Linked DNA regions of Coturnix japonica. The protein of the gene in region 2 purifies or fractionates together with the protein of the main gene of each other region. This does not show direct contact. Links are inferred from orthologs where the notes say so. Each region holds a gene or a part of one and is shown on either strand. Other genes may lie near its edges.

What was found. Proteins that work in one complex are often made in the same cells at the same time.
Region 1: the proteins of RC3H1 (region 2) and CNOT2 purify together in Homo sapiens (affinity purification with mass spectrometry, with the first as the bait; 3 studies listed by BioGRID). This does not show direct contact. The link is inferred for Coturnix japonica from reciprocal best matches to the Homo sapiens genes RC3H1 and CNOT2.
Region 3: the proteins of RC3H1 (region 2) and SERBP1 purify together in Homo sapiens (affinity purification with mass spectrometry, with the first as the bait; 3 studies listed by BioGRID). This does not show direct contact. The link is inferred for Coturnix japonica from reciprocal best matches to the Homo sapiens genes RC3H1 and SERBP1.

What each region holds. Positions count from the first base shown.
Region 1 is NC_029516.1:32,389,836-32,395,329, reverse strand, and holds the start of CNOT2 (CCR4-NOT transcription complex subunit 2), read right to left. Parts: upstream 3,965-5,494; 5' UTR 3,950-3,964; coding exon 3,515-3,949; intron 1-3,514. UniProt on the Homo sapiens protein: Component of the CCR4-NOT complex which is one of the major cellular mRNA deadenylases and is linked to various cellular processes including bulk mRNA degradation, miRNA-mediated repression, translational repression during translational initiation and general transcription regulation.
Region 2 is NC_029523.1:4,539,602-4,545,437, reverse strand, and holds part of RC3H1 (roquin-1), read left to right. Parts: intron 1-1,297; coding exon 1,298-1,582; intron 1,583-1,866; coding exon 1,867-2,084; intron 2,085-3,586; coding exon 3,587-3,960; intron 3,961-4,358; coding exon 4,359-4,490; intron 4,491-5,085; coding exon 5,086-5,256; intron 5,257-5,836. UniProt on the Homo sapiens protein: Post-transcriptional repressor of mRNAs containing a conserved stem loop motif, called constitutive decay element (CDE), which is often located in the 3'-UTR, as in HMGXB3, ICOS, IER3, NFKBID, NFKBIZ, PPP1R10, TNF, TNFRSF4 and in many more mRNAs.
Region 3 is NC_029523.1:25,842,821-25,848,207, forward strand, and holds the start of SERBP1 (plasminogen activator inhibitor 1 RNA-binding protein), read right to left. Parts: upstream 3,965-5,387; 5' UTR 3,840-3,964; coding exon 3,461-3,839; intron 770-3,460; coding exon 613-769; intron 1-612. UniProt on the Homo sapiens protein: Ribosome-binding protein that promotes ribosome hibernation, a process during which ribosomes are stabilized in an inactive state and preserved from proteasomal degradation.

The DNA.
Region 1 (5,494 bases), on a different chromosome or scaffold from region 2:
ATCTCAATTTGGGGCCCAAAGCAGCTCAGCTCTGAGCTACTACCAACTAGCACCATACGACTTCCAGCATAACAGTATAAATGAAAGACACAACACAAACTAAAAGCAATCTGAAAAGTTTATGGTCTTTTGTTATTGCTGAAATAAAAGCATAAAGACTGTAACTCCTATACAGAAATCTCTTACTGATTAGCATGGAAACATACGGTTGGAATACAAACACCTCTAAAAACAAATTTCCATAAGGAAAACTTCAAACATCCCACTGTGCAATAATTTCATTTGACACAACCCTCTCCACGCTGTTACAATGTTCCATAAAAGTAGATTGAGTTGTCAACATCCCAGCCTCTACCCTGAAAGCTCTGATGTAAGAGGTTAACTGTCAGCACACCAGTGGCTGCTTTTAAGTCAATGAGACTACCCACAAAGTTTCAGTTGTTCGTATGTTTTTACAGGAACCCAGGGCAGGAGACCAATGCAACACACAAACACAGAACGTAGATGCTGAAGCACAACAGAAAACAAACTAAGAAAAGAAAAAGAAAGTCAATCAACCCTTTTTGGGAAAGAACAAGTGAAACAGGTTGAGATAGCTGGATGAACTTCAAGATCTGCTACATAGAAGAATGGCTACATACTTACTTGGTTTTTAAATTTACTTACTTGCACCTCATAAACCCAGATGAGGCAAAGTTAATCCAACTTGCATCTCCTGCCCTTTGTCAAGCAGCACTGCCATTTGTGTAGAAATTATTTACAATCATCATAAAAATAGTTTTTAAATGATCATTTAGAGGGTAATCCTTTAAATTGGAGCCCAAAATACTTCTTTGACGTAATGGTGTTGTGCTTCTATAGAAGCTTTCTGCCTGTTTGCTAACAGTAAGATAACGTTCAGAAATATACAACAAATACGGCAAGGATTCTGCCAAGAAATTGAGAATATTTCTATTTATATATGAACAAGATTTTTGTTTGCTTGTTTTCATATTAAGTGCCTTTGAAATCTGTGTTCAACCACATTATAGCTTCACAGGAAGAGATAACCCCAAAGAAGTTAGTACAAGAACCTACCTGAGAACCAAGATTGGGAGCTAATATGCACTTCTTATGCGCCCCATAACAAAGCAAGCAAGTCAGCACTTCCCTTAAGTTTCCAGATCACATCAAAAAGGCAGGTACAAACAACACCTATTTTAACTAAGAGTGTACTTTAAATTATGCCACTTCTAGAGTCATTAACAACTCTGCTAGAAAATATTTTGCGACTCCTTGTTATGGCACACAACTGGTTGAGAAGCACAGTGAGGTTACAAATCCTGCAATGCTCACAGCACAGCCTGGCCCTTGTGCCAGTGCAGAAGTACAAAAACCACGCAAAGGAGCCTCAAAATGCAAGAAAGTTTCCAACTTCTGTCTGGCCAGAAATACAGCACAGCAAATATAGCAAAAATAGTTCATGAAAGCTACCATTGCCTGAGAGATATGCCCAGCTTTTTAGGGCTGACGTGAAGACCAAGGCTTCCAGGTGCCATCATGCAGCCAGGGGACAACGCATTAACCATTCTGTTCTTCCCAGTGAAAACCAATTCCCTACAGCTAGACTCTTTTAAAGATGACTCAAATCATCTTTAATAAATTTTGTAGTTGGTGTTTTCTTGCTAGCTCTTAACCAAGGGCTTTTGCTTTCACTGCTGGTAGAATCGCCCCGCAGATGGGTGACAGTAATAACGATAATTCTGAGAGTTATGTTACCTTTCTAGAAGAAAAGCACAGAGCAGATTTACCTGCTAACAAACTCTTACAGACAGCTTCCTGAAAGTGAAACAGAAACACACTTGCAAGTCAGGTGGGTCAGATCCTGGTATCAAGTATTCAAATCCCTTCCTAAGATTAGAAGCAGTTAACACCTTGAAGTTTTTCACTCCAGATGAATTCTCACCATCAACAGTAGCAAGGTATTGAACACAGCCTTAAAGATTAAGAAACTGGACCCTGCAAGACACATTACACTAGAGAGAACTCCAAGTACCCCATTGCACACCTAACAACCCGTACAGGTCCAAGTAGAGATGCCTTTGCAATGCAAACCTAAACAATTACTCTGCTTTTGCAGGTCTTTACAAGTTTTAACAGCCTGAAACAAATCCAAGTTTCCAGAAAGGCGAGGATTCCCGCAGAGTGCTGTGACAGCAGTTTAAACATCTCAACCTCCCTTCCCCAGGCCAAGGGGCTTTGACAGAGCCCCCAACACCACAGGGATACCGTGTGTAGGGAAGCAGGAACACTGCCTTCACCCATGTGAGTCACATGTATATACACACGCATGAAAAAGAATGAGACACAGACAGTTATGATCATCTTCTAGGGATAACGCTGTGCAAAGTTGGAAACAAGTTCTCTGATAAAACAGACTTAGAGCCGATCCACACCTAACAGCTTGTTTTCACTAGCTCACATTAGACGACCACCAAAACAAAGTTACCTGCAACTTCATTGAAGAAAACAAATTAAAAACAAAGAAACCACCACCAACGACACAGAAATTCCAACCGGCAGCACATGCAGGCAAACCCCTGCTTCTGTCAGGGACACAGCTGCAGCCCTACACCTCACACTGCAGGTACCACCCTGACCCATTGCATCCCCCCACCCCGACTGAGCACACCGTGCACGCAGGCAAATTCTTGCATGGGATCACTCCGTTTCAAGTTTGTTTTACCAACACATCTGAGGGAATAGCAAAACCTGTTTACACATCACCTTAACCGCCACCAGGAGGAGGGTGTAAAAGGCGCACACACGCGCAAAAATAATAATAATAATAATAATGATGATGATAATAAAATAAATAGAAGAAATATATATATATATAATTTGTAAAAGGAAGCAGGCCGACGGTATCCCCGGCTCACCCCGTTCCTCAGCCGGGGACTCGTTGAAGGCCCGGCGCCGTAGGCCGCGAGGCCGCCCCGGCAGCACGGCGCCGCCCGGCAGCGGGGCCCGGCGGCACCCGGCGGCACAGGCCGGGCCACCCCTACGCCGGGCCCGGCGGGAGGTGGCGGCGGCGCAGGGTGGAAACGGAGCCCGCGCGGCCCTCGGACGAGCCCGGCAAGGGAGAGAGACGGCGGGCGGGAGCCGTCCCGAACGGGCCGCGGCAGCAGAGCGACGGCCGCGGGGGATGCGGGGCCCGAGCGCGGCCGGGCCTCGGGCTCGGCTGGGCCTGGAGCGGCTCCCGGCGGACCCCGCCGGCCGCGGTCGCTATGGAGGGCGGGGGGCGGCGGGCCGGGCCGGGCCTGCGGCTGCGCTCCGGGCTCGGGCGCCGCGCGTCCCCCCCGCTCCCCTCGGAGACAAAAGCAAACGGAAACCCGGCGGGACGGCCCCGGGCCCGCACAGCCCCGCCGAGGGCCGCGCCGACGCCGGGTCCCCCCTCATCGGGCCGCGGGAGGGCGGCGGCGGGGATCGGGGCGGCGGCGGGGGGTCGGGGGGGGGCGGCCGGGGCCGGACTCACCGCATGAATTTTCTTGTCCCGCGGATCCAAGATGGCTGAGTATCCAGCACGGAGGATGCTGGGGGAGCAACCTTTACCCTCTGACCCGGCCGACGCCGTGACCCCGCCGCCGCCGCCGCTCGGCCCGCTGCGGCGCTGAGGGGCGGGGAGAGCGACGTGCCGCCCGGCGATAAGGAGCGACGAGGGATCCAGGGGACGGGAGGAGGAGAAGGGGGAAGGAGAAACGAGGCCCGATCCGCCGCGCTTCCTCCGCCTCCCGCGGGAGACGCGGCCCTGCGCCTGGGGCCGGCGGGACACGTAGGCCGCGGGGCTGCCGCGCCGCTCTGCTCCGCGGGGCCTGCAACAGGCGGGAACACGGAGCTTCGCCGCTGCCGAGATCGGCGCCCATTTTGTGAGGGCAGGGGCGGCCCCGCATCCACATCGGCCCGCAGACATACACCCAGCCTGGCACCAACACGGCCTGTTGGTACGGCCTAGTAACAAGGGCAGAGGAGACGTGTCCTGGTTCTTCTGACAATAGCAGGACACGGGGAAATGGTTTTAAGTTAAAAGAGGGAAGATTTAGGTTGGATGTTAGGGGGAAGTTCTTCACTAGGAGAGTGGTTAGGCCCTGGAACAGGCTGCCCAGGGAGGTTGTGGATGCCCCGTCCTTGGAGGTGTTCAAGACCAGGTTGGACGGGGCCCTGGGCAACCTGATCTAGTAAAGGTGTATGTTTGGTGGCCCTGCCAGGCAGGGGGGTTGGAACTACATGATCCTTGATGTCCCTTCCAACCTGGGTCATTCTGTGATTCTGTGTGTGATTCTTCTGGAGATGCAGGATGACCTAAGAGAGGTCTGGATCAGGAACCGCCATCCTGATGAGTGAAATTGTGTGAAAATCTGAATCTCCTGTGTTGGCGAGGTCACGGTGGATGCACAGGCTTTTCTGCCTGCATTATGATTAAAATGGACGACTTACCTATATAATACAACCAGAGTTTTTAGTTTATCACTGTGAAAATATGTGGTGATATCACGTACAGCAAATGCAGGTGCACAAAATGCTCATAATGCAAATAATCCCTTTGAAATCAATGAGACAATGAACAGTACCAATGCTGAGCCTGTACACGAGTGTTTATACATCGAGGCCAATGATATTTGCCAAGCGGCTTCTCCTTTCATTAATGGTAGTTCTTTTTTAGTTTTGTTAGGAAATAATGATGAAGTTGTAAAATGAAAAGAAAAAACTGGCGTGTAACACTTCGCCAGGAATAGTCGTCTTCTTTCACTTACTGCACACACTCGTTACCAGTTGGGTTTGATTTGGGAGTTCAGTTGGTTACATAGCACTGAGATTTCACTGAAGTCCTGTTGGTACCTGTGGTGATGCATCTCTTTAATGCTTCAAAGTAATCTCTGAAGCTGATGAAGAGAATGTATTAGGCTGTACATGCTGGGTTCCTACAGTTGTAGGCCCATGCAGTCAAGTGTTGCTGTGATTCTTTTCGAGTCCATGAGCATCATCATCTCCATTTAAATTTCCAGCTGGCCATTGCTTCTGCTGATATCCAGAGAGAGCTATAAGCATGCAGCATGTGTCTGGAGCACTATTGGCATGAACATTTGGAAAGAGGGCACCAAGACAAACAAATGTACTTAGAATCCCCAAATGCTTTATCACTGTGGATCTGTGCATTCACGGGCAAGTCACTGCAGTGAACGTTCCTTAACTCCTGCTCCAGAAACATTGTAGTTGCTCTTTGGCCCCATTCAGCATCACTGATGGAGTTGGGCAATGCAGCCACAGATGTGGAAGGAAGAGGAATTGCCAGAGTGCACACAGGACACAATTATAGTGCTCCATTTGCTTTGCTGTAATAAGACCACCATCCTCAGCCCCGAATGGAGGCAGAACACAATGAATAGGCAGGTTTGTGGGTCAGTTTCAGGTACAACCAAAAAGCACGTTGGAATGCATCAAGAATCTTTCCTTCTCC
Region 2 (5,836 bases):
CTTCAAAAGATCAGGAGTTAGGAGGCACTGCACCTCTAAGAGACCTAATGTGAGTGAGATGGCCAGAAGTTATTGGCAGGCAGAACATGCTGTGCTGATGCTTTGCAGGGAAAACCAGTTTAGCTTTGAGTAGAATGGCCAAGTAAAGTGATACACTCAGCCTGGGGAGCTCACTTCAGCTCACCTCCATGTCTCCAGCTGGCAGGAAATGCCAGAATGACTTCTAAGCAGCATGTTTTTAGAAAGCCTTAAACTGTCTGTCCCTCCTCGCGTGCTTGTACCGTGTTAATATCTGTCTGTTTATTCCTTTTAATATGTTCTGGACAATGCCTGCTGTCATTACCACATAGCCTGGATTTAAAGTGTTGTTTTGTTTGTGTTACCATCTCACTTTACTCGGAAGTGTTTGCTTCATCCAATCTAACCCCTGTGAAGGCTTCACACATAAGAAAGTCTCCTGCTCTGTGAGCACTCAGGCTAACAGATGTGCCCTCCCACTTGTGTTCTTGTATCTAAGCTGGTGGCAGGAGGTTTAGTGGAGGACCTTCAGCTCTGGAATTTGTTCCCTTTGTTAGTCCAATACCATCAGTCTGCTGATGTTTTTTTTTGTTAGTGTAAAAGGGCGCTTGTTTGTTCAGACTTATCAGAAGCAGTTGGATTTTGACATTATACTGTGTCTAGAGATTTTTCTCTGAAATCATTTATCAAACCATGCAAGTGGTATCAGCTGTATATTGCTATAGTAACAAGGCATGATATATCAAGATCAGTATGAAGGTGATACAGTTTGACACTAAGGACTTATGTTGGCTTTATGTCAGACAAGTGATGTAAAAGATAATCTATCTTCTATGATTCCTTTAGTTGTCTGCTGTTGGTTTATTCTCTAAATAAAATAGACGTCAACAGTCTGTGATTCTTGTTTTGAAACTTCTGTTATTACAGGTGGTATTTTAAGTGGTGTTTGTTTTTGGTTGATTTTCTTCATTACAGTTGTAATGGATATATGTGCAGGAGGGAAGATTTCAGGTTTTCTGAGCTCTTGGTGTAGTTGTCATAAAAAATCCACACTTGGTGAGATTGATACTGGTTCATTTGATTGAAATTGATATGAGCACGTCAAATTGCAGCGAAATTCTAGTCTTTCAGGTATTAATAATGAACCTCTCAAGCCAGTAGGAAATACGATTTCGAACTTGAAACTCTGGTGCCACCTGTGTTTGGGGGAAAAAAGAAATCTTGAAAATCCTTTCAGTATTTTGTTTCAGTTTTTGATGTGTAACTTCTTTCTTCAAAGATTTCGTAAAATGAACAAGCGTCTGGTTCCAAGAAGACCTCTGAGTGCCTCCCTGGGCCAACTGAATGAGGTGGGCCTGCCTTCAGGAGCTATCCTCTCGGATGAAGGGGGAGTGGACTTGCCCAATAGGAAAACCTCTGCTCTGCCAAATGGAATTGTGTCAACAGGCAGCACAGTGACACAACTTATTCCTCGAGGGACGACTGACTCCAGTTACGAAGCTGCTCTGAAACCAGGGAAGATGGACCATCTGAGTAGCAGTGCCCCTGGATCCCCTCCTGACTTGTACGGGTCTTCTTAACTGTTGTTCAAAGTGTCCTGTCTAAACATGCAGTAGAGACCAAAGTAAACCCACTCTCTAGAAAAGAAGCAGAATGGTTTGCTTGTTTGTTTTGTGGTGGTAGAGTGCAGTAGAAAACTATAGCTAAAATAATGAATTGCTTTACATCTCTGATTGCTTATATTTTAATTGGAGGAGATGATGCAAGTCTTCAGAAGATGGAATATAGACAGAGTACCTGTGAACTGTATCAGCTTTTAATAGGCAATGTCACCTTTCTACTTCTTAGGCTGGAACCTGTCTCCAAGAGCTCTATTTCTGCCTTACCAGTGAACCCTCATCCTGTGCCTGCTCGGGCACCAACAGATCTGCCTTCAGTGTCTGTCACAAAACAGTTGCAAATGGTACCTCGTGGATCTCAGTTGTATAATACTCAGCAAGCAGATATCTTTTATCAAGATCATAGGGGAGCTGCCCCACCATTTGAGCCAGCACCCTACCAGCAAGGTACGTTTGTGACCAAGCTCTCTATCTTCTGATTTACATATCAGTTTTATTCTTTCTTCCCACTTTGGTGTTTATTTATGTTTCAAATTAGTTTTTTTTTGCATATCACATAGAATTCAGGCATTAATGTGGTTATGGTATAGTACAGTGGAAATAGATGCGTCAAGATGCTGTACAGGTGTATAAATGCAGTTGGTGAGTTACCTCCTGCAAGACTTCATAAGTCTTGATTGAGGAGCTTTAGATGTTTTTGTCCACTGTAGTAAGTCCCTCTTTCTTCAGTTTTTCCAAACAGTTGGCCAGGTCAGTAAATTAATGTGGTAGCCCTGAATTCTATTTGATACAGGGAAAATGGAAAGTAATGTTTAAACAGCAGAGGGGTTTATTCCTGAGGGATAAAATAAAATACTTCAATGCAAGCTGTGTTAATATTTCAGAAATGTATGCGTATGCATATGATGGGTAGAAATGAGTGAAATTAGACAACAGCTGGGCAAAAAAAAAAAACAATAGTAAAAAAAAAAAATGGGAATAATGGGAAAGGAAAAGTAAAGGAAATGGAAGAGTTATATGTGTAAAGAGACCAAATGGAAAAAGAAAATATTGAAGGATATTTACAAAAAATAAACCCACAAACCTACGGCTATAGCAAGATGAGGAATCAGTCTTGTCATGGAAGAAGAAATTGAAGAGAGAACTGGAATAAAGTGAAAATAATGTCATAGAAAAAGAAAGAATGTGACTAATGGAAGTGGAAAGAAGCTCTAGGAAGGAGTGGAGGGAAGCATTTGGGGGAATAGGAAGCTTGTATTTGATTTTTGCATGCCAATGCATGACAAAGTTGAATGTGCTCAGTTAGTGATGTGTCCCCTGTCCATATGCATTTGTAAATTATCCAGGAATCTCAGATCAATTACCTGAAACATTCAGGTAACTAACAGATGTAATTTTAAGAGGTCTTTGGTGGTTCACAGTACTGAAATTTGCTTCTGTTTCTCAAGAGGTAGAGCAAATATTTGAATAATTAACTTTAAAAACCTCATTAATCCCTGTTTATGCAGGCAATGACTGATGTGTTGGGGCAAACTGAGTTTTTAGTTGCACAGATAGAGGCATACAAAATGATCTTCCTTTTGCTTTTAGCTCTCTATATAAAAACATTCAGGTAAATAGAGAGACATCCTAGTGAATTAATTCTGGTTAGTACACTGTGGAACCTGTGGTGGGCTCGATCTCACTGCCTTTTCTTCAGCTACAGTAATCTTTACATCTTGCTGTCACTTGTGCTTTGGATCAGCTCCTGCTTCTCTAGGGTTTTCTGAAGTGGTTAATTCTTGAGTAGAAATACCTGTTAGACAGTGGTGGCAAACAGTAAATGCGTATTAATTTATATCACTGTTCATGATACTTGTAAACTGCAGTGTTTGAATCAACCCACTTTTATGAACAACTGTAATAATTTCATTCTCTACCTTGTTTGTCTTTTTCTTGCCTAAATTCAGGAGTTTACTATCCTCAAACCATGTCTCGCTTTGTGCGACCTCCTCCATCAGCTCCAGAACCTGGTCCACCTTATTTAGACCATTACGCTCCCTACCTTCAGGATCGTGTGGTGAGCCCCCAGTACACACAGCCTCAGCAATATCCTCCGATGGGACAACCCATATATCCCCCGCACTACGACAGCCGCCGTGTGTACCCCCCTGTCCAGCCATATCAGCGAGAGGAGATGGTCCGAGGAAGCCCTGTACCCATTGAAATTCCACAAGCAGCTGTACCCTCCTACGTACCTGAATCCAGGGACAGATACCCACAAACAGAGAGTTATTGCCCAGTGGCTCCCCATCTCAGTCAGATCAGACCTTCCTGCCACCGGGTATGGTATTCCTAATGTGTTTTTGAAGTTGTTCCCAGAGAGAAAATACAAACTAGTTGAGAAATTGATTATTTTTTTTTTCCAAGTAAGGTTGTGGTTTATGTGAGGAATTTAAAATAATAATAATAATTAAAAATAAATTGGAGAATTTGGTGTGAAGCTGATGAAAAAACCAGAAGGCAGTTTATTATCGGCCAGCTTGGTGATTGTAATGATGTTAGTGTGTAAAAAGCAGCTTACTGTTTAGAGCTTGAGGAACGTAAGTATTGTGATTATCCATTTCTTTTAACATAGAGCTGCCTTCTCTTGCTTGGATAAAACAGCATTTTCTAAATTAGTGATTTAGCATGTTGGTAATGCTTCAGAAGTTTTGTAATGTATTCCTGTCTTAATTTCAGCCTCACCCCAGCCTGGATGAACTTCACCGACGAAGGAAAGAGATCATGGCACAGTTAGAGGAGAGGAAGGTTATTTCCCCACCTCCTTTTGCACCTTCTCCAACCTTGCCTCATCCTTTTCATTCAGAGGAGGTAAGAATATTTTTACTTGTGAATATGATTAGAAAATGTTCTGATGTTTTTTTCGTGTGAGCTGACAAGTGACAGTAACAAGAAAACTAGTACAATACCATGTTGAAAAATGTTGTGGAGAGAGTATCTTGTATTGCAGGTGGGAAACCCTTGTAATATGATCTCTGGAATGACTGGCTATTCTGTGATCTACCACTGATCTGTAATGGTCAGCTGTAGGTGGCACCAAGAGAATTAAATCAAGCTATTATTAATTGAAGTAGTCAGACTTCACAGTCACTAAACTTGGCTTTGTTCATTCCCAACAAGTTTAGAGTTACCTAGCAGTTTGGGGCTTTTTTTGGTATCATTTGTTTTTTTAAACCAAGGTTAAAATATATCACTCTCGTACTGAGCAAGTGAACAGTTGGTGCTGGAATTGTTACCAGCCAATCAAGATTTGATATGTCTTCTGCCTTTTGTGGCCCAACTCCAAATGCATTCAATTAAAAAAAATAATAATACAAAAAATCTGATGGTGTTTTTTAAGTTCACTGCTGTTGAGCTAATCAGCTGTGGCTGTGAAGCTGCATCTTCTCCTTACTGACAGAACCAGATCTTTGTTTTTGTACAGTACTTAGATGAAGACCTGAAGGTAGCTGGGAAATACAAAGGAAATGACTACAGCCAGTACTCTCCCTGGTCCTGTGACACCATCGGCTCCTACATTGGAACCAAAGATGCAAAACCCAAAGATGTCGTGGCAGCAAGGAGTGTGGAGATGGCGGTATGTAAAGATTAGGGGAACACCAAAGAAAAGCTAATGCTTCTCTAGGCTGGGAAGGACTCTTTGCTCTCCAGGTTGATGTCGGTACTTGTGGAGGACTTTTAAGCTCAAAAGCGCAACATAGTGAAAGAATGTATTTGCAAGTGAACAGAGTGTTCTGCTTTTGAGGTTATAAGCACTCCTATGTCTGCATTACTGCTTTAAAGTTCTGGATATAGATGCAGGCTAACTGCTCTGCAGTTAACTGTTCTTTATGCTTACTTGAAATCTAAAAATGACTCTACAGGCAGCTTGTTAATTAGACATATCCATCTGTTGCTTCCTCTTCTCTGTAATAGGAAGCTACCATAACTTTGTGTGTTATTAATTCCATTTATGGTGATTGTGACTGCTCTCAACAGTATTATTAGATTCTATTTGATTTTCTAGGATGTTGTGACCACAAGAATGCTCTAAATTTGCTTGAAATTTTTCAGAAGTGTAGTCACAACACTAGTCTGATTCATCTTGAGCACAGTTCATTGCTCTGTGTTTGCAGTTCTTCACTGATGCTGTGACTGCATATGATCTTACTTCATGC
Region 3 (5,387 bases), about 21 Mb from region 2:
TCACTCACTGATGGTACAATCTCCCTCCCAGCCACCTTACTTTTAAAAGCATTTCAACACCCATCATTCACACGCTAACACTGGAGAATTGTTTTCAGAACTCTTGAATTCTGGACCCCTTTAGCCATGAGCTGCCTTCATTACTTCCACACCTGAAGCCACTGGAGCCAAGGAAGCGTGAACAGCTCCACAGATAAGCCCACATGGGCTTGAGGTTAACTGGACAAGTGAAGCAACAGCTGTAACAGCAAACGGATCTCATCCTGCAGGCAACAGCCACACTTCAGTTCCTCCTCTGACCTCTGTGTTGTGGATGTTCAGAAATACACCAGGTATCTTATTGATTTGCACCGTGCTTATTGTCAGACCAACAGAACCGTTCACATTATGCGACTCCTGCTAAAAACTTGAGCCATGCTCTTAAATGAAATCACACAATGGGAAAGTACTCTGTGCTGACACAGGTGCCTCTTTTGACCAACAAATGGAATTTAGTCACTTTAATTCTGATGCTAGCAGTTTTTGCTTGGCTTTTAAGCTTAGTAGCAGAAGAAAGGACAGCTCCACTCCAGAATATCACTGTGTCCAACATCACGCAAGGCAAATTCTTACTTATCAACAGAGAATTCTCCTCCTTCGCCCTTCTCATCGGCAGGTTTATCAAATCGGCGCTCACGGGGAGGTCGTCTCTCAGGTCTCCTGTCAATGGGTTTGCCTTCACCCTGCTGCTGCTGCTGCTGATCAGGCCTCCTGCCAATGCGCCTTATCCCTGCAACAGGAGCAAAACACACCAACGGAATGCAGAGCTGCACCGGGACAGATACTGCAGGCAGCACTGTCATACAAAGATGAACATGAGCCGGAATTCAGGCTTTTCTTCTAACCCTGTGACCATGTGGTCTTAGAAACGATACCTTTATGAGGATCATTTGACTCCAACTGACGTTTGAATGCAGCATTTCAATCAACCTGCATTTAGTCCAAGCATATGCTCCTACAGTACTGTGGGAACAAGACCTGTCAGAGCACACAGCCACCACAGATCCCTGTTCAAACGATCCAGCTTTCAAAGAAGGATCAAGATAAGCAAGTTTTGTGTTCTTTCTCCAAAGGGCACTTTTCAGGTACAACATGTGCTTTCTATTTGATATGCACCAAAACAAGGCCAGCAGCTTCCCCAGAATCGAGCCCCCACAACAGCCACCCTGTTTCATCCGACTGCGCTCTGCCTGCAAGCATGGAACCAGAGGAAGCACCGGGGGCTGTGCTGCCCAGGGGGCCACCTCCCCCCAGCCCCGTGGCACCCCCCCCCCCCCCATGAAGCAGGCAGCTCAGCAGGCACAGCTCAGTGCCTCGCAATGACTCGAGCGCTGCTGCTCACAGCCCCGCGTGCTGGCGGACAAAGGCTCAGGCAGCAGAGTGCTGCTCACAGCCCCAGAGCTGCACTGCTGCAATGGACCCAGCTCCTGTCTCCATTTCCACACCTTCTGAAACGGGCCGGAATAGCCACTCCCCATCACTATGACATCTAAAGGGCCTTAAGTACTTTCCCAACCATCTTTACTACTTTTTAGGAAGAGCCGCACAAACTGCTCTGGGTGCTGTCACACAAACCACCATCCCTCCAAAACACGCAGGGAACAAAGCCCTCAGCAAAGCAGCACCCCAGGGCTGCCTCCAAACAGGGCTGCTGCTTAAAAAAAGAGAAAGAAAAAAAAAGCCAGTTTTGAATATTCCCAAAGACAGCAGATCCTGCCGAACAAGCAGCGCTGCACCTGGGTGGGGCCCAGAAGTTCCAGCTGTAATGATATCCACGCCAACACGCCCAGCCTAACAATGCCTCCTTACCTGACACATGGTGCTGAGCACACGTTGGCATGACAGACACTGCTCACTCCCTGCAGGAACACAGCGGCCTCGGCCCCTACTCATTCCCAGCAGAGCCACATGTTTGTAGAGGCGCAGCACAGCGGCCGTGCCACGCTGAGGCCCACAGCAGGGCTGCAATGTACGATCCAATGTCAAGTGCAGCACCCTGTGCTCAGCACGGGGCTCCCAGGAGTGAACCTGACAAGGTACAGCATTATCCCACAGTACATCAAACAACTGCACCTTGCAGAGCAGTGCTGCAGCAGCAGGCCAGGACGCCTGTTTCATTGCTATAATAATCCACAGCAGACTCCTTGCCACAACAAAGCACTGCTCGTTCTGTAAAGTCAACTTGAGAACCAAGAGGTGACCGTCCCTGAGCCATCCAAGGACCCAGACCCTGTGTGCTGGTGAAGCACCCACCCCCATGTCACTGCGTGGGCTCCCAGTGCCAGCCCACACCTGACCCACACCCATGGGGGACTGAACTCCAGGAACCACCGTTCAGGACAATAATCCCTGGCATCACAGTGGGAAACACAAAACACCCACAGGCAGAGCACTACAACAGCCCCCAGCTGCTGCTCAGTGTTCTCTCACACCCAACAGGAGCACCTTCTAGTACCATATATTCATTTCTCTCTTAAAGCCCAGTGTAACCCAAGCTACACGGGGTGCTGCACGGCCACCTGCATGCACAGAGCCACTGCTGCTCACACAGCCCTGTGCCACAGCTTGTTAGTTGAGGCTGTGTGCATTTCCAACAGCCACAACACCCGAGTCCTCCTGGTGCGATGGCTCCGGGGTCGCACAGCCATGATGGAGGATGCGAGTTATTAACACAGTGCACGTTGTTCCTACTGACTCAGTTCTTACCGCTGCACAACAAGGAGTGAATGACTTCTGCTCCGAGCGCGACACACACCTGCACCCCCGGCTGCCTGGATTCCGTGTGGGGGTTACCCCAATTAGATTCAATACCCCAATTCGATTCAATACCCCAATTCCTGCTGCTCCCATGGCGGAACCGCAGGGTCCCAGCAGTGTGGAGCTGTTAGGGCCCCCACCCCAATGCTGAGAGCCCCCACCAGCTCCGGCTGCTCGGACCCACCGGCGGCTTCGTGCAGCTCCGGGATTCGTACAGCAGCTCTATGCAGCGGTGCCGGGGCCGCGCTGCCTTTGGGGAACGAACTTCCCCGCGCACCTGCATTAAACCTGCCCTGTTAGAGCTGAACGCGGTTCCCCCCCGTCCCCCCGCTCCCCGGATTCGCTCCCGAGTTCCCGTCTCGCTGCGTTCCCTCATTACCCCGCTCCGTTCCCCGCTCCCCCCCGTTGCACCCCACGCGTTCCTCCATTTTGGGGCCGCGGCCACGTGCGGTTCCTCGGTGCTCCCGGGGCCGCCCCCCCCCGCGCCACGCGGCCCCGCTCCCGCCACGTGCGCACGGCGGTGCCGCTCCCCGCTGCCCGGCTCCCCCCGTCGCCGTCCTCCCGTTCCCCTCCCCGCTCTCCGTCCGTCCCTCTCTCCCTCCCGGCCGTACCCGCCGCTTCCCGCCGCCCCCTTTGTGCCCGTTGGCGGTTTCCCGGCTCTCACCGTCCTTGCGCAGCGCCGCTCCGCTCTGCCCGCCGCCGTCCTCCCGTCGCTCTCCCCCGGCGGACGCGGCGAATGGCGGCAGCGGGTTCTTCCGCTCCTTCTGGGACTCCCTGCGCAGCTGTTTGGCCGCGCTCCCCGCTCCGCCCGTCGCGGCCTGTCCCGCCGTTCCGCCGCCGGCTCCTCCCGCGCTGTTGCTCTGCGCTCCGCCCGAGCCGCCCCGGGCCCCGCCGCCCCCCTGGGCCCCGCCGCCGCCGCCGCTCTCTTTCCGCCGAGTCTCGGCCGCCCGCAGCACCTCGAAGGGGTCGGACTCGTCATCGAAAAGCTGGTCGAAGCGGTTGGTGACGACGCAGCCGAAGCCCTCCTGCAGGTGTCCGGGCATGATGGGCCCCCGTCGGCGGGATCCTGCTCCGATGCTGCCGGGCCCCCCGCGCCCTGCTGCCTGCCGCACAAGATGGCCGGCCGAGAACAGACCCGCTTCTCTTCCGGCGCCGGCCACATCCGGGCACCTCACCCCCGCGCGGGGCGCGCCGGGATTTGGAGGCGGCTCGCGCCCAACTCCGCGCGCGCGTGGGCGGCGAACTACAACTCCCGGCGTGCACCGCGCCGCCATTGTGCCGGGCCGCGGGCGGGGCGGGGTGTCATGGCGGCGGCGTGGGCGGGAACGCGGAGTGAGGAGCGGGAATGGGCGGGAAAAGCGACACGGCTCCACACGGACGGGACGGGCGGATACAGAGTGTGGGACCGGCTGTGGGGATACACAGTGCGGGACCGGCTGTGGGGATACAGTGTGGGACCGGCTGTGGGGATACACAGTGCGGGACCGGCTGTGGGGGTGGATGGCCGCCTGCTGCCCTCAGTGCTGTGTGTGAGCACTGCCGGCTGCTGGCGGGGTGCTGAGCAAGAAGAGGGAACGGGCCGGCTCCGGTCGTGGTGGGGCCGTGGCGGGGCCGTGCTGTGCCCTCACTCCGCCCCTCCGCTGTAGTTTCCTTACTTTGAACTAAATAACCCTCACGTTGCACAGCGCTGTTCCCTCCCGCTGTGTCCCCTCCCTGTCCCTGCAGCCCCACCAGGAGCTGCTCGGTGCTCCGTGAGGCCGCACTGACTGACTGCACGGAGAACATTGTGAACGAAGCTCAGCCGTGGCTTTGGAGCAGCAAAGCTCCGTGTGTCACCTCACACGGCATCCTGCAAAGCTGCTGCTGCAACTTTGTGCCCATTCCCTGGCACCGTTCTCACTGCATTCCCGACGTGCTGCACGGAGGCGGCACTCAGAGCAGCGCTCAGGGCTGCAGTGAGATGCAGGGAATGCACGGAACACAGCGTGCTTTGTGCTGAGCTCTGTGCACTGCACAGCAGGGCTGGCAGTGGGGCACAGCAGCAGGCAGACGTCCTGCAGGGCTCCTGTGTACCCTGTCATTGCAGCATGGGGTCTGCAGAGCAGGAAAACCTGCTCACTCTTCACTGTAAACACATGAACAGCACTGCTTCCTCACGAGGCACGTGCATCGGGAAGCAGAGCAGCACAGCCCCGCTCTGCACGTGGAGATGTGCAGCAGAGAAGTGAAGCAAAGCGTGCGGCCGCAGAACATCAGGTAACCCGGACTCATGGAGCCTGTTCCTCCTTCCCCTGCATCCCCAGCAGCTCGCAGGGTGGGTGCTGCTCCTGCCCAGCCCTGGCACAGCCGGTATTTCCAGCTGACGGAGGAAGCAGAGGGTTGGTCCTGAGCTCTGCCCTTAGCAAACCGCTCTGCAGCATCCAGCCACGCTCAGTGGGCTCTGCCGTGCTCCGTCCTCAGCACATGGGAGGAGGAAAAGGGAAGAAATGAGGCATTTCCCCTCACAAGGGCTGGGGCAGTGGGCACAACAGCAGCGCTGTGGAGGCCAGGACGAGTGAAGCACATGCAGTGTGCACCCATTGGAGCTGGAT